Oreochromis niloticus: one gene and its partners. The protein of the gene in region 1 interacts with the protein of each later gene in a pairwise test. Links are inferred from orthologs where the notes say so. Each region holds a gene or a part of one and is shown in the gene's direction. Other genes may lie near its edges.

Region 1 (7,433 bases):
ACATCCTAAATATTCCTAAATATCTATGTTTGTCTCATGAATAACTGATTTTTTTAATGTGTATCTACAAAGTCAGTGACTATAGTGATGGTGCACTGAGGTGTGGTTCAGCAGGGTGGGACGACTGATCCCTCTATCAGTAACTGACAGTTGGGGGAATCACATTTCTATCATAGTACTGCTCCTCCCTTTGTGGATATCTGGAATGACACTGACAGTGTCCTGCCAAACAACATGGAAATGTGGTCTACTTTGTTGACAGGTGTAAAATTAAAAATTTTAAAAAAAAACAGAAAACCTTCTCATAATGCTTTGATTTAAGGTTTTGTTTTTGTTTTTTTGTAACTTGTAGGAGGGTATTCAAATAGATGCACATCCAAGTGGTTTGACAGGGTGATACCTTCCTGTGTAGCTTTGCATAGAACAAATACAATGGTCCTCCTTCTGGCCTTACCTATACAGCAATTTCTGTCCATCTCTGAAACTGCTGCACTTTGCATTATGTGCTAAACCGAAACTATTCTAACCACTAAGTATTTCCAGTGAAATTTAACCACCAGTCTCTATTCTGCATTTTATTATCAACACTTTTCCCGACCAAACACAAGTTGAAATTGTCTACTGAGAGATTTAACTGAAGATTAATTCTTCAAAAGTGGGTTCAGACTTTTATATAGAAATGATATGTAAGTGGCAGGAAATAAACCTGTGGTTAGATGAACAAATTGTGAGCTTCAGTTTCATTATGACTAAAGTTGCAGATAATATACGGTTCCTTTCAAGTCCCATAGTTTTACTAGAGTTTAAAGACATACCATATAATAATTACTGTAAATATGCCAGGCTACATTCTTTTATTTTTCATAACTGAAAATTTAAAACCATTTTGTTTGCACAATAATCAGCATATAAGTGACACCACTAGATGGCACTCCACACCAGCTGCAAACAGTGACATGTTTACACTGACTACTTGATGATGCATGACTCTGCAGAGTTTCAGGCTGATATTTGCAATTCCAATGCACACCTTAAGCCCATTAGCTTAATTTTGTATAGGTGGTACATTTGAAAACATATTGAAACACATGCTATTTTTACATTAATCATATAATGCAATTATTGAAACATCATGTCCACTGAAATTTTTGTAAAAGTGGTTGAAAAGCTTGTTTAACTCAGTCTCGCTCACTCTGCTATGGTGGCTTAATGCTCTTCTCTCTTTCTTATCCTTCCTATTTTGTCCCTTAGGACCAAGTGAAGCCACCAAAGGCATCCAAATCCAAGACAGCAGAGGCAGTAGAAAGTAAAACAGCGGAGGGTCTTGAGCAAATCCCTGAAGAGGGACAGGAGGGACTCCGAGACAATCTTAATTCAGATGAAGAGGTGGTGATTGAAGAGGAGCTCATAGAGACTCGTACAAGGCGCCTCCAACGCACCACAAAAGAGCAAGTCGATAACATAAAGAAAGCCTTCTCCAAAGAGAAAATTGAGAAGACCAAACTAAAAACCAAGGAAAACTTGGAGAAGACCAAGCAGAGAACCCGTGAAAACTTGGAGAAGACAAGACAGAGAACCCGTGACAACCTGGAGAAAACCAAGCACAGTCTTGAGAAGAAGATCGGCAAGCTCGGGACCCGCATGACCCCCAACCAGGAGCGCAGGGCAAAGATAAAGAGTTCCAAAGAGAAGATGAAGAAGTCACTCACCCCTGACCACAAGATGTATGCTCGTTCCAAGACCTCCGTGTACCGCGTTCCCCCTTTTACCTTCCATGTTAAGAAGATCCGGGAAGGGGAGGAGGAGGTGGTGCTGAACACGGAGATGGTGGAAGTGAGCGAGGCCGAGGTTCAGCCAGAGGGAGAGGAGAACGGGATGGGTGTGCACGTGGAGGTGGAGGAAGGGGAGCTTGTCAGTGTAGACAGCCCTGAAATGGATACTCTGTTGGAGGTGACTGAAGACTCTGACCTGGTCAGGGTGGATACAGACCACCTAAAGAAAGCCCAAAGTGAATAGAGTCTCATAGCTCCACAGGGCTGTGAAAGCAATTATATAAAGATGAAGAAGGAAACAGAATATTGACGAATGAATATAATCACAAAGACACAGTAGGGACTTTATAGATGATTACAATCTATGACATCTTATTTGTTTTCTGTTCTCTTTGTATTCTTCCCAACAGGGATAACTTTCATATTTGTTCATATTTAGCACTCAAATAATGGAAAAAAAGACAAACCCGGAATTATGTTACAGGCTGACTGGATATGCTACACTTAGAAATTAGAGTATTTGTTGTTTGTTGTTGGTTTGATTAATTGTGTGGCTAAAAGAAAAACAAAAAAAAATATTGTGATTAAGAGACAATATTTAGTGTGGCATTCGCCTTAACAAATATGGGAAAATGAAGTTTTTGGCAAGGTTTTTGTTGTAATGGACGGGTGAAGTGATGTGAATGTGTAAAGAAAAATAAATGTAAAAGTTGTAGACGGATTCTTCTACAGAAGAATTAACAAGTGAAGAAAAGATCTGTTGCACTGGACTTACACTAAGGCGTTTAACTAAACTGTGCTCCATATTTCGTAAGATTACAAACATTTTCCCAAATGTTACAATACAGTGTTTCTCATTGTTAAGCACTTAAGTGTGAATGGCTGGAAATAGATGTGCAATTTCTATTAATATATACTAGGAACCATGAACCTGTGACAAATTCAACTATCACAATGTTTAAATGCATAACACCACACTAAAAAGCAAAATATACTGTTGTGTATGTGGGGCAGTAAAATTTTCAGCTCAATTTTCAGCTTTCATTCAAATTAAAAAAGGAAAAACTGAATGAAAACGTTAATAAGATTCGGAATGTAACTTTTGCTATAGTATAAACAGTGTTTAATGAGGATACAACGTTTGGCGTGTCTGAACACGTTCTCACTAAGCTGCACATATTGCACTGCTGCACAAAGGGGAGGAAAAAAAGATAGTATCGCCATGGTCACAGCTCATCACAGTACATTTTCATGCCCATTAAAATTTCTCAAAGTAATTACAGACAGAAAAAAAGATGGTCTAAAGAGATGTGAGATGACAGTTTAATGACTGCTGTATGTAATATGGAGAAGCTGAACTATTACAGGAACATCCAAAGCAAAAAACTATGAAAATCTGGTCGTAAATTATACAATTTGGTTGGCATATGATGGAGAAAACAGCCAAGCAGTAATGAATGTAAACTGGTATGGCAATGCGCAGTCAGTCTTCTGATTTTGTAAGGCCGAGCATATCGCTCTCCAGACAAAAACAAGGTGAATGTATGTCTTCCATTTTGCCTCCCTGGAGACTTGAATGACCTTGATGTGGTGCAGACACACACACAGAGGCCTACTGTGTAGCATCGACCACCATTAAAGTAATCAATGGGCGGGGAAATACAATTAAGGAGAGTGCTCGGTCAGAGAACTGCACAAACCAGAGAACATTGAGAAAGACAAAGGGGATATGTGTCTGCGTGTCTATGTGAGGGAGGGAGAGACTAATAAATGGTGACAGTATGCGCATGTCACGTACCCAAGCATGAAGCTGAAATCACACAAAACAATAAAGAAATCAGCTGTGGGCCTGTAAAATCACATGGGCATGTTAGTTTCATAGCATTAGCCTTTTGTTTATTTTATGTTATTTTTTGTAATTTTTTTTGGCAAAGACAACCTTTACTTTATCCATAATACTCGCTGGTTCCTTTAGAAGAAATGTGTGTTTTTGTCACCCTGTTTATTTTGTCTTGTTTTAAGCTGCTGGTTATTCAGAAAATGAGCTTCAACACTCCTGCAACCTTATGTGACATAATATTACTCTTGGTGTTACTGATTTATATTCAAATAATGACGCTTGACTGATTATGTTGTGTTTAAGGCTTTTTATGCCTAACAAATTCAATATAAATAAACGCCTTACTAAATAATATGTAGTGCCTGGCATCATTCTTACGAACCTGGCTGATAATGTTGTCTTGTTTGTCAGTTCATAAGTTTATTTGTGTTCCTTCACCTACCGTGACCAGAGGGTCGAATTATGACTAAAGGTAAATAATGAAGCGCTCTAGTGTTATTAAACTCTCGATGACGTCGGCACTGCCGGTAATTCAGATGACTTCTAGGCTGGCTGTTCCGTGAAAATGTTTGTCCCCCCTCCGGTGCTACCCAGCTTAAACGTCTACTCTGTGGCTTACCCGGGGGGAGGGTGTTCAGAGCAGAACAGCGCAGTTGCGACAGCGGTACAGCGGACCTCCTCAACCAACCTCAAGCTAGTGTCCCGCCTTCTTTGCTTATAAGCTGCATTGTGATTGGCGACAGCAGAGTTGCAGACCACTATTGGCGGCTGGAAATGTCAGTAAAATAGTTTAAGGAGTTTGGCTGGCTGGAAAGTCTGCAATGTAGGGGATGGGTTGACTGATAGATCCGTACTTGCGACGAAGAAGCGTTTCTCGTGTTGGGAAGAGAATATAAAGACTTACGGGGTTTTTTCGAGCGCTTTCCGTCGTTTTTGTGGGTAAAATCTTTACGAAAGTTGCCACTGACCGTTATCGTCAGTGTGTTTTATGAGAAGGGTTACTGTTTTGGCGGAGAAACTTTCTAAATAAGTGGCATCGAGCCAGGTAAGCAAATATAAATCGACTTCTGCTTTTGGTGTAAATTCTTTATTTTTAACGTAATGTTAATGCACGTCTACTTCTAATATCGATAACGCTGCTGGGGTACACTTGCAGTACTTTATAGGTTCTTAGTTATTCACGTTGGAGAAACCCCCTCTGCTCACAGTGATACATCATTTATTAAAGTGGTAATAACGTTTTTAAGTGTGTTACAGTTCTGCTCGTTTCTTGTAAAATGTATATTACAGACGTAATATTTAAGAGTTTTTGTGTTTGTGTGCTCTATTTTACTCGTCTACTCTCTAACGCCTCGTTTAATAATGGCAGTACATCTGATATGCTTTAAAAAGGGAAGGTGGGCTTTAACGGGATGCCCCTTTGGACCGAGGAAAATTCAGTTCAGTCCTTTCTGTTTTCTTTAAGCTGTCACGCCCATCACCATGCCATCAGTTGGACAGCACACCCACTACCTAGCCTTATGATTCAAGGCTTGCATTCAATAAATTAGGCTTTAATTGGGGACAGTGAGTTAGCAGATTATTAACTTTTGGAGAGTTTTGAATATGGACGCACATCATAATCAATCAGTATTTTATTTATTTATTTTTGCCTAATAACACATGTAGTTGTACTATTGTTTTCATCCACTGCCAGTGAAGGTTGACATGCTTACTGTTTCTCGTTGTTGTCTCAAGGAAGTGCTTCCTTGAATATCATAGGTATGAGTTTTAATGAATGGCACTTTGCTTTACCGTTTGTGCCACCTACTTCCGAGCATAGGGCAGTGGACAAGCTGGGTAGACAGGTTTATTTATGATAACTAATTCTGAGTTGTGGATTTTAATTTGAGAGCTTTAGATTTAGTTTTTAAAGCTCAGACATTGATAGAGGTGTGAAAAGAAAAGGAACACAAAATGTGTGAGACCTAAGCAAAATTTCTAAGTTATGCAACCAACAGATGGGTTGTTTAGACTTTATGGATTCCTTTCATCTGACATAAACAAGCTGCTGTTCTAAAGTTACTCTTGATTAAAAATACAACACAACTATTTCTGTAACAGTACACGTATAATTCTGCAGAGATCTCACAGAAGGGCTTAGTAAGTGTCAGAATAGTCCAGCCATTTCAGGAGAAACGGGATAAGTAGCTTACACAATAAACGTACAACTGTGCCTAAGGGTCATGGAGAACACTTGAAATACTGTTTTGTTTTTTAATTGAGCTGATAATGACTTGGCTATTCTTTGATTTGATTCTCCCAGGTCTTTTACATGCCCAGAAATCTACACCATGCATGAATGCATCTTTTTCATATGTTGTAGAAAGAGGAACATGGGTCTATGGGATATGGGACAGTTAGTTATGTGGCTTCACTGCTTAAAATAGCCACGCAATATTAGTGAGGGTATTAGTGGTTTTGTTTTTTGGGGTTTTTTACCGAAACTAGTGGCTTGCCTTGAACACTGATTTCAGTGAATGTTGGAAAATCCACTTTCTGTTGGTGTTTTAAAATGATGCTTTTGAGAAGGCATTATGTTACTTTGCACTCACCTCCATGTGTATGAATATGGAGCCTACATAGCGTTGATTTGAATAATGCTAATACCTAGACAGATGGAAATTCAGGTCCCGTGTTTTAACCTATTCAGATATGAACAGCACTATTTCAGTGGTATGCTTTCTGTCAGCAGAAGAAAATCTTTACATTTGGAAACAGAAAGTGAAGTTTTGTTTTTTGTCAAGTACATTTCTGTGTCAGCAGATACCAAGCATGAAAGCTTTGTTAAACGTCTCTGCCTATATTTTAAGTTGAACTTTAAGTGTATTAGAGAACACAGTATACACATTCAGTGGAAGGATGTTACTGCAACACTATCCAACATGTTATGTAAGGATTAAACAAAGGAAATGGCTTCCTTTTGGATTTATTGAATGTCTGGTTATTGTTAGTGTACAGTAGAAAATTCTTCAGGGAATGGTGTACCCTTTAGGTGAAAACATGAGAAGGCTAGCAGAACATCTCAAGTGGATCTGATGGAAAAGTTATAGTTACATAACCTAGATAAGAGTTATATCTGATATCAAGTGATTGAAAATAAATGAAAGACTATTACTCAAATTGCAAAGTACAGAAAGTGCAGTGAGATACCTTCGAGGCAAAGTTACCACCAAAGATCATTAACTCCTGTCTGCTCAGGGAGTCGACAGCTGTTCATGTTGGCCTAAATTTCTTGGTGGAGGCGTAGTGTTTCAGTGAACAGGAAGTGACTGTACTGAATAGGAAGCCTCTCATGGGCTTGTCATCGTTTTCAGAGAAAACTTGATATTTAGCTATTTCCCTACAGTTAGTTTTACTGATTCTATCAGGAACTGTGGCAGTATGTATTATCAGTTTGTATTTTTATAGAATTTTTGCAGAATTTATGTTGTCTCACTCATATTTTTTATGTAGGCCAAAGGAGGTGAGTGTCAAGATGGCCCAGTGGAACCAGTTACAGCAGCTGGAGACCAGGTACCTGGAGCAACTCTACCACTTGTACAGTGACAGCTTCCCCATGGAGTTACGACAGTTTCTTGCGCCTTGGATTGAGAGTCAAGACTGGTAAGAAATAATTACATTTCTAGGCTCTGTTGTGAAATTACATTTTAATTCATGTAATTTTCTCTCCCTTTGGATTTGGAGATGGCCACTCATTATGACTTCCAAAATGTTTTTTGGCTTTAACATTTTTTTTTTTTAATTTATTCATTATCACCCTCTTCTTTCCTTATAACACC
Region 2 (6,950 bases), on another chromosome or scaffold:
ACTGTCTGATTAAAAGTGCTATTACAGTGAATTCCACAAATTAAGCTACAATATAGCTGAACCAGTGGTGTGTTATGTCTGCAGTACAAAGAGCATAATATGGGAAAATAGTACAAGGAAAACTGAAGCTCAACTAAAACTCATGAACATCCTGGAGGTACAGCAAAGGGGCCTGTTCAATACATCGGGGGAGCTCAATTGTTCCTTGTTTATTGACAATCACTTTGTCTTTTTATGGCAAATGTAGCAGCAAGACCTTCTCTCAGTCGATGTGTGACAGAGGATAAAAAAGGTTCCCACACTGAGAGGAAGTCAAAGAGGGGCCACTTCTGATGCGGAGGGGGATCAAAATTGAGGAAAGTGCGTGCGTGTGAATGTGCGTGGTCTAGGTATTACTCATCTTGTGGGGACCACAATCAAAAAGGGACAAAAAGTATGCGTGTGAGTGGATGTGTGTCTGTCTGTGTATCTAAATAAATAAAACCTATGGTAAGATTTGAAACAGCACTAGCTTGCCGCACAGAAATCATTGTATAGCTTTTCTGAAAACACCCCCACCCCCACCCCCACGAACACACAATTATAAAACACGCACATTTGCAGTCACACGCAGCGCACACTCACATTAATAATGGGAGTTGAAAGTATCTATTGGCAGCATGTATACTTTTGGCACAGAGGTGGTCAGAAGTGCATTTACTAAAGGAGACCCACGCTCCCTTTCTTTCCCACTGTTGTTCAGGTTATCCTGTGGGGCCACTTATGACCCTTCTGCAGGCAGGATGCAATGTCTGGGGACCCCAACAGAGCTGTACACGAGCATCCGCCAAGCCCTGGGAAGAAAACAAGGGCTGATGGAAAACTAGAAGAAAGGAGTATAAAGAGAAACGGCAGTTAGTAACCAGGACGCACTCAATAACACTCACCATGCACCTGCAGCCTGTGTGTGTGTGTTTGCGTAAATGTGTGTACATGTGTGTACAGTGAAGCAAGGTTGTTCCTTCAGTGAACTACAGCATAGCACAATCCCCACACACAGCACAGGTGGTCCAAACAAAAACCTGTGAAGTGTTGCCCAGAGAGTAATATCCCCACGTTGTGTGTTGTATAAACCCCCCCATAGGAAACAAACACTTCCGGTGTTGTAAGATTTATTGTTTGGTGCACTTATAGGTTACAGTATACTGTGACTGATATCTTCCTTATACGGTTCTTTGATTTATTCTCAATATTTAATAGCAATTTAGCATGCACGTGAGACATGAAAGGGTCATAATTACTGCTAGATAACTCAAGGACATATTGTTTTGTGTTTATTGTCTCACTCTGAAGAAGAGGGGTGAATTCCCTTGGCAGTGCATTGTGTGGTGAGAAAAGGAAAGACCTGGTTAACTGTTTTGTATGGTGTGAAAAACCAAAGCATTGTTGTACTGACCGCACACCATCTTGCTAAATTTTTGCCCCAGATAAGTCACGATTTGCATTCGATTTCACATCTGCACACCTCCACCTGCACCACATACAACACAGAGGAATCCACAACGGTTCAACACTATGCTTCTATATGTGATGTCATTGTAAGGGTCATATATACATAGAAATGCCAAGAATTAGTCAGAAATGGTTACACAACTTTGAACTGACCTACTGTAAGGACAGTCTGGGATTAGAATAAGTCTGGTTACACCCTCTAGTGTCAACACTGGGGAACATCGGGAAGCAATTTCTCATTTTGAATAGTGCTATAAACAACAATAGTATCAGTACCATTAAAAGTAAGCTAACTAACATGAGATCAAATTATGGCCACATTTCTTGCCCTGTAACCATTTTATATACAAGCAGAAAGATGTCTTAACTTTTTGCTTGACTCACTAACCTAAAGTGTATCTTTATTAAGTATTTGGTGGTATTGCATTGAGAAGTCATTATAAGCAACGCACAGTCATGTGAAAAACAACATTGTCACAACACTCATTTCATACGTTGCAATATTTGTGTGAAAAACTAAAAACGCCCAATGATTCAGTAGCTTATAGCAGTGACCTGAAGTAACCACTTTCTGTATGACTGCATCAGTCTGTCACTGTCCACTCTACTCTATAACACTATTTTTTTAAGGCATTTGTTTATGCACAGCTCTCTTAAGGTCCTGTAACAGCATTTGAGATCTGGACTTTGACTGGGTCACTGAAACATCTTGATTTTTTCAGACATACTCTTGTAGGTTTGCTGCTGTGCATTGTCCACCGATTATTGTACACGATCCAGTTTCAGCCAAACTTTAGCTGTTGGACGGATGACCTCACATTTGACTCTAAAAAACTTTGGTTTAACGCCGAGTTCATGGTGGAGTCGATACCTGCAAGGTACCCTGTGGCTGCAAAACAAGCCCAAATTATCAACCCGTCAACCGCCATACGAGACACTGGTATGAGGCGTTTGTGATGACATGCTGTGCTTGGTTTTGGTTTGTTTGGCGAAAGCATCATGGCCAAACATGTTCATTCTGGTCTTGTTGGTTGAAAAGACAGTATTTAAGAAGTCTAGGTTTATTCAGATTCATCTTTTCAAGCCTAAAATGCTCATTTTAGAGAGAAGAGGGTTTCCCCTTGGTGACCTTTTCAAACCAGCCATACTTATTCAGTCGTTTTCTAAACATACTGCACTGAATGAGGCTTTTAGAGTCTCAGATGTAGCTCTTTGGTTACCTTTACCTTCGTTATTGCTATGGAAGCAGTATGAGTGTTGTTTGTTTTTTACAGTACTGCACAGAGTGCTATAAAAACATTTTCATATGACTATATTTAACTACTTTTGGGTTTCCTGTGTAATAGAACTTATTGCATACAGCCTTAATAATGAAAAAGTATCAGTAAATGGGAATTGTGAAATCTTGCTCTGTTATTACATGGAAACAGACTTAAACTGAGTGCATGTTTTGGGATATACACCTTCACACTTTACTGTTTTCTGTGGTCATCAGGCAATATAGGCAAAAGAAGAGCTGCAAGGCCCTCATTTGTTGCTATTGTTACTGCAATAAAAATATTAATTAACACAATAGTAATCAGTTATTGACATTAAAACTTGCATAAAATTTATAAAGGGGTATATTACCAGGGTGGTTGCACATCCCACTAGTAGCTGAACACTCCCTCTTGTGGCTGGAATTGTGTATTGTTTTACAGTATTACTGTAAACATGTTTCTTGACACTGAAAGGTAAAGATATGAGTAGCAGAGGCCAGCAGAGGAACTGAAATGTGTGTCATGGAAACCATGCCCTGTTTCTTTATCTTGCATCTTATACACTTGAGCAGACAACACTCCACCACACCTACATTTAACACCAATCACCCAGACACACAATACAACACAGTGCAGACACTTCTTTTTTTCCATTGCATTGTCGATTTGATACCAAAGGTCATTTGCATTTTTTAAAAAAAGATCACAGGCACAATTTTTGCAAATCATTGACCGCATCTACACATTCTGAAGTAAAACAAGCTCTACTGATAGCTAACCTAAAGTCCTTCTTGACCAATAACTTTGAGGACCATACATTTGTGAGTTTTAATACTTAAAGATGACATACAGTTATCAGTTGTGTTCACTGACTAATTGCAGGACTGGGGCGGGGTAACTACTGCAAGTGAAATTTAATCAGAAGATTATTTTTGCACTCTGTAGGTAGATCATCTGCCTGAGAATCAAGGGAGAAATGTAAGAGACCAGACAAAAGAGCAAACTGCTGTCTGTTTCCAGTAAACTGAATGTAACCCCAAAGGGGAGGTCCTGGTCTTCACTGTTAGAGAGAGAGAGAGCGAGAGCAAGAGAGAGAGAGAGAAATTAGAGCAGAGCAAAAGAGAGAGAGAAACTTTCCAAACCAAAATGAGTGAGTGAGAGTGACACACTGACAAGCACTCAGTTTTCAATGAGGAAATTGAAGACATTTTGCATCTGGAGTACTTCTGAAGACACGAGCCAAAGACAAGCTAAAGGTATTTATCTGCTGAATGAATATATTACATTATAGAGCAGTGACAGGCATTGAGAATTTCTAGATATTGTAAGGTAATGGTGAACATAATAGTGTAAGTAATATTTTATTTAAATAATGGTGTACAATGTTGGTAAAACACATCAAAAATTAAACAAAACATAACGCGTAACGTGGATGATCAAATATGTGCGATAAATAATTGGCAAAAGTATCAAGGCTAATTATTATTATGAATTTTCATTTCAATTATCACTTTTTTCCGCGTGAAATCCATAAGTCAGCGGTTTGTGTAAAGCCTCCCTACAGGCATGCATTTCATGACATATTGTTATTACACACCACTGAATATTAAAGCACTGCTCTTGCTGTTTTAGGGGTAATTTTCCATTTTAAGACGTAATTAAACCATCGATATTGATAATACGGTACTTACACATACAGTCTAAAGCATACACAACACTCTACACTACTCTGCTACATCATTATTTTATCAGTGTTGTATATTTGCATGTGCAGTCATTATCTTTAGCTTTTGTAATACACATTACATCAACTATATTTGACTTTGTGATCTAAAAAACACTTTTAAGTTTTAACATTAACACCTCATAAAACTTGCTTCAGACAAACAGCAGTTCTTTTTTAACACCATCGCTTGGTTTGGTATCATTTCTACACCAGTGTGTTTTTAGCTATTTTTAGCCGTTTTCTTTTCCTCTATTTTTAACTGAAACTTGACAATGAAGCCCCATCATAAACTGTACATGCTAATGCAATGGTAAAGAGCTGTAAACACATTTTCACTTCCTCTTTTGAGAGCCAGTTTTTGTTTTTTGTTTTCTTGTTTCAATTTTATTATTTTTTTGGGTCACCTGTTACCAAGCAATACATCTAAAGAGATGCTCACTAAATACATTTTTAGCAATTTTGAGTCATTAGATGTCGTTTTCCAGCACCGGGCATGAAGTCAAAGAGCAGGCCCTGCAGTGGGAGGAGTGGAGACTAAAAACAGCAGCAGGAAAGCTCATCTGTTTGATCAGGTAAAAGCAAAGTATTGAGCACATTGTAGCTATGTGAGTGTCTTTCCATAAACTTGTTGAATCATTGTTTACTGATACCACACTAAACAGTGCATTCTGTAATTAGATATGTTATTTTAGTAAATGTTAGCATCATGTAACATAGCTAAAAGAGATTTCCACGAAACATGCAGGATGGGCTGCACTTGCAGTGGCGAGAAACAAGTAAAAGAAGAAGGATTCTACAAAGGAAAACACAAATCACACGCCTCCCCGTCATCAAACCATATAGTAAGTAAAACACTAAAAAGATTTACTCAGATGTGAAACAAATTTTACTCTAATTACCTCAAAAGGTTTACTTGACAAACTGGACATAATCAACGTCTTCTTTTTTTCTCTCCATTCTTTCAAGGGACGAAGTGGAAACGCCTATACAAATAATGGTAATCACAAACCTCCTTGCATAAATCAAACATCATAGTAGAAAGTAACAGGCCTGCATTCATGGACCCAACTGCTGCTGCGTTAAGAGACATTAGTGGCAGTAATAAGAGCTACAGTTTTGCGATCGAAATCTCGGTTGAATTTCCTCTGTTCTCTTCTGGGGATTAGATGAGATTGCAAATACATGAAAGTAATGTTAATGTCACAGATGTAAAATAACACAGCGGTTGCTCGGAGAAGGAAAACAATATCACCACAAATTGCGCATGTTAGAACACAGGATCATGTCAAAATAAAACGTCTAAGAGTAAAAAGCAGATTAAAAATACACTTTTAAAGAAACTCTGTGCTCTTCTTCCCTTTAGATGACACTATATTTATTGCACAACACGACTTCAAAGCGACCAACGACAGTGATCTGCCTTTCAGAAAGGGAGACAAACTTAAAGTATTGCAAGAGTAAGTCTCATTCTATGGTTCCCACAGTTGTGAAAGTGACAATAAAGAAAGCGCACAGAGAAATAAAATGAATGCGACGTGTTTGTCTGATGTACAGAACCGGAGAATGGTGGCTGGCCCGACTGCTGACGACTGGACAAGAAGGCTTGATACCATCGAATTATGTAGCCAGAGCAGATACACTGGAAGTGGAAAAGTAAGCTTGAAATATTATGGAATGAAATGTAGCACGCATCTATTGATTGATTAATGTTGTTGTAATGCTTTGTATTATTATATTCAGGAAGAGTGACTTCTATGGTTTTGTGGTGCTCTCTCTTGCAGATGGTTTTTCAAGGATTTGGGCAGAAGAGAAACCGAGAGGCTACTTTTAGCACCCGGAAATAAACCAGGGGCCTTTCTAATTCGAGAGAGTGAGACCTGTAAAGGTGACCACCATCAGTATCTTTCCGTGATCATGCCACAAATCACATTTTTAGCAGCTACCTGTATTCATTTTCAGTGTGGTCAATAAACCCAAATGTCCCTTTTTCCCCTCTCAGGGTCATTCTCGCTGTCAGTCAGAGATTATGAAGGGGAAAGAGGAGATGTAGTAAAACATTACAAAATCCGTTGTCTGGACAAAGGTGGCTACTACATCTCCCCTTCCAACACGTTCTCGACCCTACAGGAATTGGTTCAATACTATACCCGTAAGTAACAACTACAAATACAACATCTCCACCCTCAAAAAGTTTGTATTTTCAGAGATGTATAATTTAAGAAACCATATCTATGCACAGGATTTTCTGTTTCTGTGTTTCCAATTCAGCATTTATAATTGTAAATCCTGCATCTTGCATTGATTTGGACTCAGGTTAAGCTTGCTGCTTTGAATTATAAAACATCTGCAGTGACTTTGAATTAAAGGGGGAAGTTCGACCCTTGTGATGTGTTGTGCATTTCCTGAGTGAGAGGAGTGATAGTCTTTCCACTCCTGCGACTAAACCACAAGATAAGCAGGCCAGATCTTGAGAA
Region 3 (7,018 bases), on another chromosome or scaffold:
GAAATTCATTACAAATGTTGAGACCAGAAAGCTATTCTCAGATTCCTCTGCTAAAAGTGTGCAGTTTTTAAGGTGGAACGTCATACAGCTGCTGATGAAGCCAGTCGGAAAGTCAGAGGGGGAGTTTGCATTGCTCAGTGGGTCAGTGATACATGTGTGAACATGACTTTTATACTTTTGAAACAAAAGATTATTGCATAATTTTAAATTCTGAGGGAGAAAGCTTATATGTTGGTGTAGGGAAACAATGAACCTATACTAAGTTCAGAGTTAGTTATAGTTCAAAGTAGTATTGAATTAATTACTCACTGGCCACCACCAGACTTAAAGCCACGGAGATGAGTGGCAACAGGCCACCATAGATGAAAACTGCCCCCTCTTTAACGAGGCAGTGTTCATACCTGTCAAAGTCTACCTCTCGTGCTGCGCACACGTGGTCAACGCGGCAGTCGCTGTCACAATCCCTCAGGTCATAGTTCACAGAGTTGAAATCATAGTACTTCTGCAGGTAGCGGGGGTCATCAGCTACACGCTTCAGAACCTCGTGCATGGAGGCTGGAGAGGCATCTGGTACTCTGAAACTCTCTGTGAGGCGATACTCTTTCTCCCAGCGTCCTGTGGCTACATTAGCATGAGTAAGGTTCAGGTAATAGGTCACCACATCCTGCGTGAGAGAAAGCATATGGTTTAAACACAGAAAGCAGAACATTAGAAGCATTACAAGATATTTCTGAAGGTTTTATAATTTTTTAAAATACAAATATATATTTATATAAGTTGCGTAAGAGCCTAATAATACTATTGCTACTTTTGACTGCCCCGTTGCCACGAGGAGCGTTTCACGTTTGATTTAGCAGTTGATGATTTGAGTTTTACACCGGATGGTCTTTCTGGAGCTAGAGTAAAAGGGGATTTTTGTATCTGGGTGATAATGAACTAGCAACCGTTCCCTTGTGTTAACCACTACACCACTAGAGGAACATAAATGTCTAATGAAAATTGTAAAGGCCAAAACTTGCCTTGACTACCAGTGTTTCTGTGTCATATTCAAAGACACGAATCCCAGGATTGTTCGCTCCATCCTTAACTCCAGGAAGTGTTGTTTCCCACGGTGTGACACCAGGGCTGAGGAACATGGTACTAATGGGAGAACCTGTAGAAACGGACAAGATATCAGCTCTATCAGTATTAGTGTGTGTTAATGTTAACGCTGGATATTGGAGACGCATTCCAGCTAAGTGATAAACAGGTAATACAAATACAAGGTGAAATGAGTACTATTACTGCAGTGTGGCTTACCCTCTGTGTTGTAGAACATACGGAAGCTATCAGTGTGATGATGGCCAAAGAACTGCCCTTTTATTACAGAATGATGCTTCTCAATTAAATCCAAATATCGCCGGTTGAACTTTGGTGTAAACCATGGCTTACTTCTTTTCTTCTCGAAGAAACCTGGAGGAACGTGGCCAATGATGTAAACCTGATAAACCAAACAATACAGAGTTAACTAAAATCCAATCAGGACCAAGTCTCTTTTTTGGAGGGGCAATTGCTTATACAGGATTGTATTCATTACAAACTACATCTTTTATTGAGCTCTAGTCCCTAACATCCAAACATCCATGAACAAGATGAGATGCTTTGCCTTCTCTTTGTTGTTGGCCGCCTCTGTAAGAATCTGATCTGACCAACTAAACTGGTCCGCTGGGTCATCCATGTTCTTGGTCAGCTTGTTCTGATCATAGTAGAGATTGGTGTTAAGGACCAGCATCCTGAAACCAGTCTGATTCATGAGCTTTTCTGTGTAGTATCCACCTGTGCAAGAGGAACATTGCAGAAAATGTCTGTTCAAAATTTTCCTGTGCATCATAAACTGATGTATTCATTCTTTGGAAAGTCATTACACATATATTTGTAACTATTAGAGAAAGCCATCTTCACCTTTTTTAAATGTTTCTTTTGACTTTGGATCCAACCAGCCCTGCCACATTTCTGCTATTCGGTCATACATGGAGTTTGGGGCTGCAGGAAGCTGACTCTTTGGGTGGTAATCATGGTTCCCCAGGGCTGAGTACACTTTAGTGTCTAAACAAGACAATAATGTATAAAAGACATTATTTATTAGAAGTAGCCAACACTTATACACTGTCGTATGCGTTGACCTTGCATGTTTCCACCCGATTTTGTACTTACTTGGAAAAACTTGATTTATGATGTCAGTGAGGTTGCCGATAATGCTGAGCACTGCCTCTTCTCCCAGATCTTTATCATCAACATGTGGAGTGTCATCACTGAGAAGTAACACAGCAGATTGTTTCAGGATTAATTGCAGTCAAACATTATGTCGATACCAAATACCAATCTGAAAATATCATGACTGTAAAGGCAGACAAGCATTTCTTTCCCCAGATATAGTCTTGAGACTAGCACTGTCCTGCAAAATTCATTTAAAAAAAAAGTAACATACCCAGTCCATACGATGAAGTCCGGGTTTGGTAGAATATTCTTCATTGCATAAACAGAAGAGTTGATCAGGTGCCATGGCGAGTCACAAACATAGTGTCCAAATTTACCAGCATTGGCTGCAGGTCGTTTGCCACTGGATGCGCACACCAGTGCAGGATTGTTGTTGCTCAGTTCGTACGTTGGGTCCCAGTGGAGATCCGTGATGTGCCAAAAGTTCCCTGTGTAAGAACGATGCGTAATAGCACCTAGTAAGTTACCCCGAGATTAAGATATATACTTGATTTATCTGGTGCTTACCTGAGAGCGCAAAAGCCTCTTTAAAAAGAAAGCAAGACAGAAGCAGCCTTACTGCCGACATGTCGAAGCCTTTGAGAGGAAGAAACATCCGACAAAAATCAAGACCTGATTTAAAAGGTATGCCGTAAGTCTATAAAGGCGAAATCACGATAAGATACGGCTGGTCATGACGCGTCTGAGGCTTGAAGGTGTTTGGATCCCTATGTGCAGGTGATACTTCGCTATCAGTAATGAAGTTCAACCGTCACCCTGTGATGCAAGACTACGTTTTAGCCTGCATACAATAAAATAAAATAAAATAAATAAAAATAAGTTTCAGAATAAATTTAAAGACAATAAAAAGCTTCAGCTGAGAAAACCTCTATACACACATCTGTGAAGCTATTTAGGAGTCGAATTCCTGCTTGTAGACTACGCCTAGACTATTTTTATGTGGACTAAATTTAAATTTAGTAGACCTTCTTTTACCTTATTTGGGCATGCGCTGTTTAAGAATCCAATAAATATACATACATTCATAGCACAAATAGGAGTATATATAGACACATTATATTAAAACACATCTACGTGCGAATGTTTTCGCGGTTACAGTGTAATATTTCACTAAATACAAAAAGGATTTTATGCATGGTGCCCTCGCGTGATACTCGTATTCCCCAAAATCGACACTGTTATAACTGTGGAGAATCTGTTTCTCAAGCTGATGATGCAAATAAAAAATTGTTTGCTTTGTTTTGCTTTTGTGATTATTATTATTTGTTTCGCTTATTTCTTTTTACAGTAAAGGGGCATTTGGGGGAAAAGCGTAGTTAATCATCGTTGGAACTTTTGCAATGTCTGTCTGTTTTTGATAAACACAGCTATGCGTTTGCAAATGTTCTTTGGAAATGATTTTTGCAAAGCCTCAAAACCGCGCGTGAGCACGTAGTTCTTCGGGAAGTTCATGAAAGCAAACCTAGGACTCTTTCAAAATCATTCCCTGATGTTTCTCTTTCAGGCAGACGTAACTCCCAGGCTACGGACTGCTTCATTAAGTAATATAGCAAATAATGATAATAATAGTAATAATAATAATAATACTAATGTTAGCACATGTTAAACAGTGGTTTGGGTCCAGAGTTTGTGCTTTTGCATTGGTCAGTCTTGGCGCTAGAAGGGGAACGATAGCCTGACAAGCAAAACTTAGGGCTGAATTACTTCATCTTTAAGCTCTGCGTCATCATAGATTTCGCGGGAGTTCCGCTGTGCGCCTGCGCTGTACATTGAAGCTTGCGCGCGGGATTAAACGAGGAAGAGGATCACAGAAATACGTTTGGCTACAGATATTACTGCACGGTGTAAATAACATTTTACGCCTTACTTTAATAAGTTATACAAACAGCGGAAGCATGTGGAATCAGGGTGAGTTGTATTTCGATACCGTTGTGTTTATAAATAGCCATATGGGCTCGGTGACGCTGTGTTGTTTCGGTCCACGTTAGCTTGACTACAGACGTCTTTGTTATTGTGTGTTGAATGTGAGTGTAGGTGGGTCAAATGAAGATCATATCGAATAAACGATTTCACTGACACAGTTGTTTACCTCTTTATACATTTTCAGGAGGGTACAGTGAATCCAGTATGGCTGGGGGCTACACTCAGTCTCCAGGAGGATTTGCATCACCTGCCTTATCCCAGGGGGGAGAGAAAAAGGGGGTCTGTACTTATATCTAAACTTAAAAGTCGGTATAATTCACTAAAGACTTGACACAGACATAAATCTGTAAATATAGTGCTGAAAACCAGCAACAACATACCTTCATTTGCCAAATGACATATCCCCTCTTTGTACACATGTTGACTTCTGTGATAGAAGCACAAATTGACAGGTCTCTGCTGCACGACAGTTAACCCATTTGTGTTTGGGTGTATATCTTTGCAGAGAACACGTGCCAACCAAATAATCCCCTGCACAGTGTCTCAGCTAATGTCTGCTTCCCAAGCCGATGAGTCATTCAGAGTAGGAGATGTGGATGTTGCCCAGGTGAGCCAAACCATTCAGTTAGTTCTCTAACCAGTTACTTTTTCAGCACTTAAAATCATTAGTTTGTTACTCTGTAATACAGTTTTTTTTTTTTTACTTCTGCAGTTGAACAACAGCAACTTTCCACTCCCTTTTGAGTACAAGTTACTTTTGTTTACAGAAATTATGTAAATGTGCATATATGTCGATTGTACTTTTTTGTCCTTTTAAATGTTTAAAATAAACATCTATCTAACAGTCAGACCAAATGCAGAATTTTAAATCATTTTATGTTACAACATTTTGCAGCATGGACGTAATAACTATTCTAATATTTCCAGATTTGATAATAATTGTGGTCTGTGTCATAGGTCACCATTGTGGGGGTCATCAGAAGCACAGATAAATCCATGACCAACATCCAGTACAAGGTTGATGACATGACAGGTGCTCCCATGGATGTGAAGCAGTGGGTAGACACAGAGGTAAGTATCCACCATCACAACTCTGCTGCAAGCTCAGTCTGTATTGAAACATGAGGTAATTAAATCAAATCAAATCACTTTTATTGTCACATCACATGTGCAGGTACACTGGTACAGTACATGCAAGTGAAATTCTTGTGTGCAAGCTTCACAAGCAACAGAGGTGTGCAAAAATACAATAACATAAGAACAAGCAAAATATAAGAATGGGTAAATCTGAGAATTAAATGAATAAATATATGTACAATATAAGAGTGTATGCGCATTGCTGAATGTGTATACTAAATATGTATATCTAGGTGTGTGTGTGTGTGTGTGTGTGTGTATTTATATATATACATATTTTTAAAAATTAAATAGAATAAACAATAAAATAAAATATACAGAGGTTGGCAGTTGGAAATGTGCAAAACAAGTGGCATTTATATACAGTATGGAGTGCATAATGTTGAAGCTCTGGTAAGTGAAGGTGAGGTGTCTATGAAGTGTTCAGCAGTCTGATGGCCTGATGGAAAAAGCTGTCTCTCAGTCTGCTGGTACGGGACCAGATACTGCAGAACCTCCTTCCTGATGGAAGTAGTCTGAACAGTTTATGGCTGGGGTGACTGGAGTCCTTGATGATCCTCCCCGCTTTCCTCAGGCACCGCTTCCTGTAGATGTCCTGGAGGGAGGGAAGCTCACCTCCAATTATCCGTTCAGAACACCGCACTACTCTCTGGAGAGCTTTGCGGTTGTAAGCGGTGCTGTTGCCATACCAGGTGGTGATGCATCCAGTGAGGATGCTCCCAATGGCACAGCGACAACAGACAATATGTATAAAATGTATAAAAACTCTATTACATAGTGAGAAAACTACTAAACTATAATATCTGTTTAGTATTGCATTTCTCTGAGTAGATGGCTAAAAGGAAAGGGCAGTAGTACCTCAATGCCAATCTCCTGTTCTAAAATCTTAAGGAAAATTAGCTGGAATTGTATGAAAAGGATCAAGTATGTGCTTTTTATTTATACAGGACCAAAGTGTGGACAGCACTGTCCTTCCCCCAGGAACTTATGTCAAAGTGTCTGGAAATCTGCGCTCTTTTCAGGTGAGTTTAATATTTGCCACCTATGACCGCTTATTAGTTTAAAAGTGTGGTTGCTATCAGGCCCCAGCCCATTCCGTCCACCGTCCACTCCATCCACCGTCTACTACAGGGGTGTCCAACTCCAGGCCTCAGGATGTGTCCTCCAGAGAGGACATATCCTGCAGGTTTTAGATGTGTCCTTGATCCTACACAGCTGATTTAAATGGTTAAATTGCCTCCTCAGCATGTCTTGAAGTTCTCCAGAGGCCTGGTAATGAAATAAATCCTTTGATTCAGGTGTGTTGACCAAGGGTCATATCTAAAACCTGCAGGACACCGGCACTTGAGGCCCTGCTCTACCAGCTTACTTGGTGGTTGGGTTGATGTTGTGGCGTTTTTCAAAGTCAATCAGCTGCTTCCCGCAGTCAGACTGATTCCTCCCCCCCCTCAACCACAAACAGACTGTGAATCAATTGGAAATGGTTAATTTAAAGTAAATGCTAATGACATTTCCACAGTACCCAGAATCAAATAGGAACTTATGACTTGCATCATGATTTCATCGAAAGGCTACATGACAGTGTAAAATTTTTAAGCGGCTGTGTGATTTCTCAATCATACAAACATTTTTGACAATCTCATATTTAATTTTGTTCACATTTAAACATTTATTAACCTTTTTTTGTGTGTGTGTGACATGT
Region 4 (7,052 bases), on another chromosome or scaffold:
ATTATATTATATTATATTATTAAAATAACAGCAATTCAGAAATTAGTTGTAACTTTTTTTTGTATACATAAGTATCAAAGCCAAGGACTCATATAGAATACAAACATATCTGATAAATACATAACTCTAAACCACACAGTCATAATGCAGTGGATTTTAGAACTGTGCAGCATAGTTTGATTCTTCTTGTGCCCTTGGGTATACTCACTTCACACTGATGGAAAATTGTTCTCCAAGTGCTCATTTCTATGGTATGATATAATATTTCTGTCCCATTGGCGATCGTTTTAACGGGTTAGTGCTTTGTATGACTTTAATTGGGTGTGAGGTGTCACTCTGTCACTGTACCGTTTAATAAACATAAGAATTACTTCAGTCATATGACGTAAGTGGTGAAAAGTGATGAAATTTTAACCCAAATCAACACATATGGGACATCTTCTATTGCATTTGTTACTATCATCATATAACACCAAATGATGGCATTTCTTAGAAGAATGGCATTGACTCCCTAAGCTCTGGAGACATGTTAACACCAGGGAAGCTATTCAGCCCCGCGTCTTCATCATACATACAACTGCATTTTATTTAAATTTGTCGTCTGTCTGTGCATTAAATTTAGTTTACAGAGCGTACAGTGAAACTGAGAAACACTGAAAGGCACTCCGGCTTCATGTGGGGTACGGCTGGTTTTCTTGTGACGTATCTGGATCCAGCAGATCATCTGCATAAATATCTTCTGTTCTGTGGGAAGAGAAAGACAAGCAACCAACTTTTTTAACAACATGTAGTATGTTTGTACAAACTGCGCTGTATTTATGTGTTAGACAAAAATGTTATGAGGTGTACAAGTGTTAGTTGTGCAAAATAATATAGAAACAGTTACTTTATTTGCTGTAATGATGTTGGTACATGATATAATAATTCTTAAATACTTACATTACTTCCAGAGTGTCTTCAACTGCAACCTCCTCTACAACCTCCACTCCAACGATCACGTTCCTCCTCACAGCTTGAATCAAATACAAGAACATTTTTGATATGTATCAATTGGATGCCTGCATAAATATATGTGTGTGTTGGCTGAATGACAACAGCAATCTCAGCTTTAAACACCCCAATGGAACATCTTAGTTCAGTACATTGAATGCCACAATTGCTAAGGTAAAGGAAAGGATATCATTAAAGAAAAGACCCTAGAAACTAGGTGTAGTCTCACCTCCACAGTAGATAAATGGAGATCCTGATGAGCAGTGACCCAAAACATCTGGTTCCCTCTGTCTATAAACACATCTCTGGGTTTCCATCCCTGGACCTCCCCAGCACTGACAACCCATGAAATGCTGGAATACATCTCCTTGCTCAGCTTCAACCACTGTTATTTGCTGCAAAGGAGCACCCACGTCATGCTGACACAGGCCTGTGCTGCTGGGGATCCCTGAGTGGACCTGAGGCTCGTATATGGACCACTGAGCAACAGCAGACTGACTGATAACGTCATCACATCCTGAAGAAATATATGTGAGATACAAAGTTAACTTGACCAATAAGTGGCTGAGGTCGAGCTATACATTACACTAAACAACAACCAAAATATCCATGGCTGATTAATGCAGGGGGTGGCTTAGAGTTACACGTCATGGCTGAATCATATGTCTGAACCATCTGTTTCCTCCACCTGCTGATTAGACCTGCTGGGTTTGGACTAAAACCATCAGCAGTCATCAGTATACTGGCACACATTCCCACACACACATACACACACAACAAATATACAGAAATAGCAGGGAGTGTGGGGTTTCACAAACAAAAAAACAACATTAAATAGGATTAAATTTGTTAAGATTTGTAATTTATACCATTTACTCCAGTGGTGAAAGCAGTCACACTACCAACAGTAAGTCTTTGCAAACTCATTCTTCAGCAATAAGTGATTTGGGATCTACTTGGATTTAAATGTGACTTTTGTTACATAATGTGGCAGCTAAGGACAGAAAAAAAATTGAGCATGTGTACTTGTTTAGCTCTCCTCTTGGGAAATAAACCTACACAATGATGATTTGGATCCTTACTGATATTTCTATTATTTTATTATCAGTTCATATATCTAAACACAACAGGACATCCCTTTTATTAGTCTAGGCCAGACAGTATGTGTGATATCGTTCAGTTTTTTAAATGGCATTGTGATCAACTGAACACACATGCATTTTCTATTTTTTCTTTTTTTTCTTTTTAAAAAATATTATGTTTGTCATACATTCCATGTAGATTTGCTCTCAATGAGTAAGGTTCTGTATGATGTCATTTAATAATTAGATATGCTTTTTATGCACTTTTTAGTGCCTACTTTTTTGTTATGTTTCCCATTTTTAACCTGTCCTGCTGCATTTACAGCTGCAAAAACCTGACATCTCAGACCTACCTGTACTATAGCAACATACAGCTGGAAGTTCTCCTGTTTCTTTATCCTCCTCCTCTTCTTCTTGGTGGCTCACCATGACAGAAAGAAGGCTCCCTGAGTGCTGAGGATGAAGACACAGAGAAGGTCTGGGTGACCAAATCCAGCATTCATGACTAAGTCTGTGCATCCCAGCTCTAACTTCAGCACCGTCCACTGACGCGTGTGGTTAAAGCGGTGAAACAGATTGCCTTTCTGCCTCCTAAACAAACGATGGAGCCTCTGATTGGGTTTTCTCTGGACTGGAGGTGGAAGCAGAGGAAATGACTGTATGAGCCCCTTGAGAGAAGAAGCTGATTGGGCTGTTTGTTTCTGCCTCTGATGTAATGCCTTAGATTAAAGGATCAGTCCTGTATTTTAATCACTGTGTCTGCAATAGCCAAAGCATAAATAAATGAATAAATAAAATCAACTTCTTAGTTTTGTACCTAGCTTTCAGGAATAAAATTATTTCTTTTTGGCAGATCCAGTCATTTTTTAAATAGTAACATCTGAGAATTTATTTGTACTTAAGTGGTTATCGTTAAGGAAGGGCCAAGATAAGGAAAGATTATAAGGATTTATCACAGGAAAAACTATAAGTAAAAAGAAAAAAAAACATCATTCTGTATGTCTTAAGCAATTTAAAGTGGAATTTAAAATCTCCAGGGCATTATCATGGTAGCTTTATACTTTATAAACCATTAACAACTTTTTCTATCAATACATTTCTCCTGATTCATTTGTGGTCTTGAGGATACTTACTGATGCAAACACTTCGATCTCATGAACAAAGTACTGCAAAACAAACAGACAAAAACAAATCATGTCAGCTAAGCTAAAAGATAAATCCAGAAAACAAAGAAAGCAAGCACACTAGGAGGGCAGGGGGATAAACTAAACTTAATTTCTCTCACTCCTCATTCCTATTTTTTTTCCCCCCGTTTAATATCTCTTCCTGCTCCTCTGTCCTCCAGATGCATTTAAGGAATCAAGATTTTGGTAAACAGAGCTCAATGATTGATTCTGGGTCATGAGCATGAGACCAGAGGACAGAGGAGACAAAAAAGAGAAACGAGAAAACCCTTAGGGAGGGTGGGGAAATAACAAAACATGGTATTAATAACAACACAGAAAAATCCATGACGATTTAAGCTTTAAAATTTAACAATATGTGAACTGAATGAGGGGCCAGAATGAAACTAACACATACAAAGAGATGCAGACAGAGGCGACCACAGGAGTCAGTCGCAGAGAGGAAACCACTGGCAAAACAAGAAGTGTGAATAACAACAAAACCCCAGCAATCAACATTCAAAAACAGACAAAAGAAGAAAGAGAATAATAACAACATAACCAGAAATAATACAAAGATCACGACACTTTGCATCATAAAATGTGCAATATTATGTACGTAAAAGCTTTGTACAGCAGCTCATGGATAGTAAAATGTGACTAAAGGCTTTTACCGGAAAATTATGATTAGAAATAATTCGAGGATGGTGGTTAACCGCTTTAAAACTGAAGTATTGACTGATTATGATGTACATTTTTTAATCCATTAATTTACTGCAGAATGGTTTCACTTTTACAGCCAGCCCTCTTGCTCATATTGGTCAATTAGAGGTCACATGTCCTCTCCCTACCAATCAGAACTTAATGTGGTGGCTCGCACTGAGGAAAGTGGACATTTGCCCCTCCGAGGCTTCACAGTTTTATTCACCGAGGTCGTACTTTTTATATCAGGTAAGTTCACATTTAGATCTGTGCTTCATTGTACTTCACGGCACTTTATAACCTCACTTCTCGGTGTTTTCCTGCGAACATCACCAGACACGCCCTCAGTCGCTAGATTTGTTTTGCTCTGAGTCGTTACTATTCTTACGTTTATTTCGTTTTGCATCAGGAATAAGATGGCTTTTCCCGGATACGGCGCTGGCCCCGGTGGATTTCCAGGAATGGTAAGAAACCGCTAAATTGTGATGAAACGGTTTTACAGTCATAATCCGTCAACCGACCTTCGTCCCGGGATGGGCATCTTTTCCAACCAGTCCGGAAGTTGGACGGTTTGAGAGAAATTCCGTCTTTACATAAAGGTTTCCATTTGAAATAACATGCAAACATTTTGACAATATATTTGGTTTCAAAGTATCTTAAAGAATTTTTTCGGCTTTAAAATGAAACTCGAGCAGTATTTGTGTGTTTTAGATTCGTACTAACTAATGACTGCATAAAGGATGCATTCCGCAGTCAAGCAAAAGTGGTGTTTTTACTTAAAAGGTACTTAGAGTATAAGATGATGTAGGCATTTTTGTTGCAAATACACAGCCATCTATTCGCTTCCGCTTATCCTTATGAGGGTCGCGGGGGGCTGGAGCCTATCCCAGGTACCAAAGGCGAGAGGCGGGCTACTACCCGGACAGGTCGGCAGCCTGTCCGGGTAGTAGCCGGCAACCATTCGCACTCACATTCACACCTATTAGCAAATTTATATTAACCATTTGACGTAACCCCACTAACTGGATGTCTCTGGGTTGTGGGGAGGAAATCGGAAAAAAAACATGCAAACACGGAGAGAACATGCAAACCCCACACAGAAAGCCCCTCACCAGGTGGTGGAGTCAAACTCAGGATGTTCTTGTTGTGAGGCAACAGTGTTAATCACCCAAATACCCATGATTCTTATATTATCACATTTTACTTTAAGTAGCATCAAATAGGATTTAATAAGCTCATAGTGGATCATATTTTAACCTGATTATTGTTTCTAAAATCCTAACCATAGCACATCTGAAGCTGCCACACCTCATCAGAGCAGATAGCAGTTTGTTCACAGTGTAGTTGAAAGCAGTTAGAATTATACTAATAATTATACTAATTATATAACAAATTTGGACTTCAAACCCTTTGACAGTCTCTTGTAATGATTGCATCCAGATGTGTTGTGCAGCTTATATTTATCTATACATCTGTTATTTAGATTACAGTGTCTGTTAATGACAGAAATAATGGTGCTGGAGAAGGATGGCACATCTTCTTCAATGAGGCCTCAGAAAGCAGCCACGCAAATTAGAAAATACACTGAATCATTTCAAGCCTTTTAAGTGGCAAACAGGATTGTGAAATGATCAGCTAGATGGGTTTTGGTTTATAAACCCTGTGGTTACATTTTAGTTTCTCTCAGGAGATCTGATAGAAAGCTTTTCACCCAGTCATGATTGATTTTGCCTGCTGATTTAAAATGACTGAAACTGGAGGTTGGTAACCTACATAACCTAACTCCTGTTAGGTGTGTCACTTTTACAGCTGAAGTAATTAGATGATTGAACTGTTGGTTGACAGACACACATTCAAACAGCACTTTTATCTAACACAGTCACACTCCAATGCATTGAGGGCATTTCGGGGTATTACCCCAAGATTTTTCAACACATGGACTAGAGGAGCCAGGAACAATCCAACAACCTTCCGATCGCTAGACCATCCACTTCACCTGAGCCACACCTGCCTTTATGCTAAAATTCCTTTGCTAAAAACATTTTAGTCCATTGTTAGGCAACATGATGATGTCATACTAACTGATAAAGCCCTTTATATATAACCTTAATGCTAAAGGCTAAAAAGTGTCATATTTGGTTCCTTAACTAATAACTTAAAATAAATAAGTGTTTAGGAGGAGTTGGTGGGTAAAAAAGCCCATGAACAGACAGATAATGTCTATTATATGTGTATTATTATACACTAGTATAGTATACTATTATTAGTATATTATATTGATATCCTTCAGGATCCTGTTGTTTTCGTGAAATATCTAAATCATCTATTTTCATTTAAAGGTTTTCATTTAAAAGCATTTAGGAAATTACCTCCATAAAATAATATGTTTATTTATATTGAGACTTTTTTTAAATAGTAAAATTTGTATAAAGTATAGTTTGTTATTTACATAGCAGGACATAGAGTTCTATGGAACTCAATGACAAGTAGCCAAGTGTATCTACAAATACAGAATAATATGAAGAATCAGTTAAATCTCGCTGACTTTAATTTCTTTCTTTCTAACTTTCAGCAACAAGATCCTCTCTATGGTTATTTTTCAGCTGTTGCGGGTCAGGTAAGAGACTCGCACAAAAGTCAGTCTCAAATCACTTCACTAATTTTGGACGTGATGAACTGTTGATGTAGTGACCATTCATGCTTCTTTAAACCTTTGTAAAGTAGCTGTTAGTTACTTAACCATGTTGTGTATCCCACTTTGCCGTGTTTTTATAAAACCCCGACAGGATGGACAGATCTCAGCAGATGAGCTGCAGCGCTGCCTCACGCAATCTGGCATCTCTGGCTCATACCAACGTAAGAGCAAAAGACTGTTTAGAATTTAAAAAGCACCTCAAACACAATACAGATTTTGGTCATTTCATTTTATATCTAAATTATATCTGTGCCTCTTGCTAAATAGTACTGCGGTGTGACTTTTGGTCATAGTTATAAAAACCTTTGCTCTAAAAATCATTTAGCATTAAGGGGAACTCTCTTTTCGGCAAGCAGCAGTTTAAGTGCTAACCAGTGTCACTGGTATTGTGTTCAGTGCCTGGAGACCTTGAGAACTGTT

What was found.
Region 2: the proteins of stat3 (region 1) and blk interact in binary tests that used the Homo sapiens proteins (3 or more experiments, as listed by UniProt). The link is inferred for Oreochromis niloticus from reciprocal best matches to the Homo sapiens genes STAT3 and BLK.
Region 3: the proteins of stat3 (region 1) and rpa2 interact in a two-hybrid assay, tested with the Homo sapiens proteins (2 studies listed by BioGRID and IntAct, with this or other methods). The link is inferred for Oreochromis niloticus from reciprocal best matches to the Homo sapiens genes STAT3 and RPA2.
Region 4: the proteins of stat3 (region 1) and sri interact in binary tests that used the Homo sapiens proteins (3 or more experiments, as listed by UniProt). The link is inferred for Oreochromis niloticus from reciprocal best matches to the Homo sapiens genes STAT3 and SRI.

The regions. Positions count from the first base shown.
Region 1 is NC_031969.2:26,414,330-26,421,762, forward strand, and holds the start of stat3 (signal transducer and activator of transcription 3), read left to right. Parts: upstream 1-4,410; 5' UTR 4,411-4,657; intron 4,658-7,107; 5' UTR 7,108-7,129; coding exon 7,130-7,257; intron 7,258-7,433. Other genes in the region: cavin1a (caveolae-associated protein 1), read left to right, coding at 1,252-2,016. UniProt on the Homo sapiens protein: Signal transducer and transcription activator that mediates cellular responses to interleukins, KITLG/SCF, LEP and other growth factors. Once activated, recruits coactivators, such as NCOA1 or MED1, to the promoter region of the target gene.
Region 2 is NC_031980.2:8,612,219-8,619,168, forward strand, and holds the start of blk (tyrosine-protein kinase Blk), read left to right. Parts: upstream 1-3,943; 5' UTR 3,944-4,006; intron 4,007-4,961; 5' UTR 4,962-5,048; intron 5,049-5,221; 5' UTR 5,222-5,222; coding exon 5,223-5,318; intron 5,319-5,442; coding exon 5,443-5,473; intron 5,474-5,839; coding exon 5,840-5,933; intron 5,934-6,030; coding exon 6,031-6,129; intron 6,130-6,257; coding exon 6,258-6,361; intron 6,362-6,475; coding exon 6,476-6,625; intron 6,626-6,950. UniProt on the Homo sapiens protein: Non-receptor tyrosine kinase involved in B-lymphocyte development, differentiation and signaling. B-cell receptor (BCR) signaling requires a tight regulation of several protein tyrosine kinases and phosphatases, and associated coreceptors.
Region 3 is NC_031976.2:26,300,367-26,307,384, reverse strand, and holds the start of rpa2 (replication protein A 32 kDa subunit), read left to right. Parts: upstream 1-4,004; 5' UTR 4,005-4,151; coding exon 4,152-4,164; intron 4,165-4,363; coding exon 4,364-4,458; intron 4,459-4,684; coding exon 4,685-4,786; intron 4,787-5,136; coding exon 5,137-5,250; intron 5,251-6,263; coding exon 6,264-6,338; intron 6,339-7,018. Other genes in the region: smpdl3b (acid sphingomyelinase-like phosphodiesterase 3b), read right to left, coding at 302-664, 1,020-1,153, 1,300-1,480, 1,646-1,815, 1,942-2,085, 2,194-2,291, 2,468-2,684, 2,764-2,851. UniProt on the Homo sapiens protein: As part of the heterotrimeric replication protein A complex (RPA/RP-A), binds and stabilizes single-stranded DNA intermediates that form during DNA replication or upon DNA stress.
Region 4 is NC_031976.2:29,809,382-29,816,433, forward strand, and holds the start of sri (sorcin), read left to right. Parts: upstream 1-4,033; 5' UTR 4,034-4,186; intron 4,187-4,346; 5' UTR 4,347-4,353; coding exon 4,354-4,401; intron 4,402-6,509; coding exon 6,510-6,554; intron 6,555-6,723; coding exon 6,724-6,793; intron 6,794-7,052. Other genes in the region: uncharacterized protein LOC100710708, read right to left, coding at 672-744, 940-1,012, 1,220-1,507, 2,426-2,591. UniProt on the Homo sapiens protein: Calcium-binding protein that modulates excitation-contraction coupling in the heart. Contributes to calcium homeostasis in the heart sarcoplasmic reticulum. Modulates the activity of RYR2 calcium channels.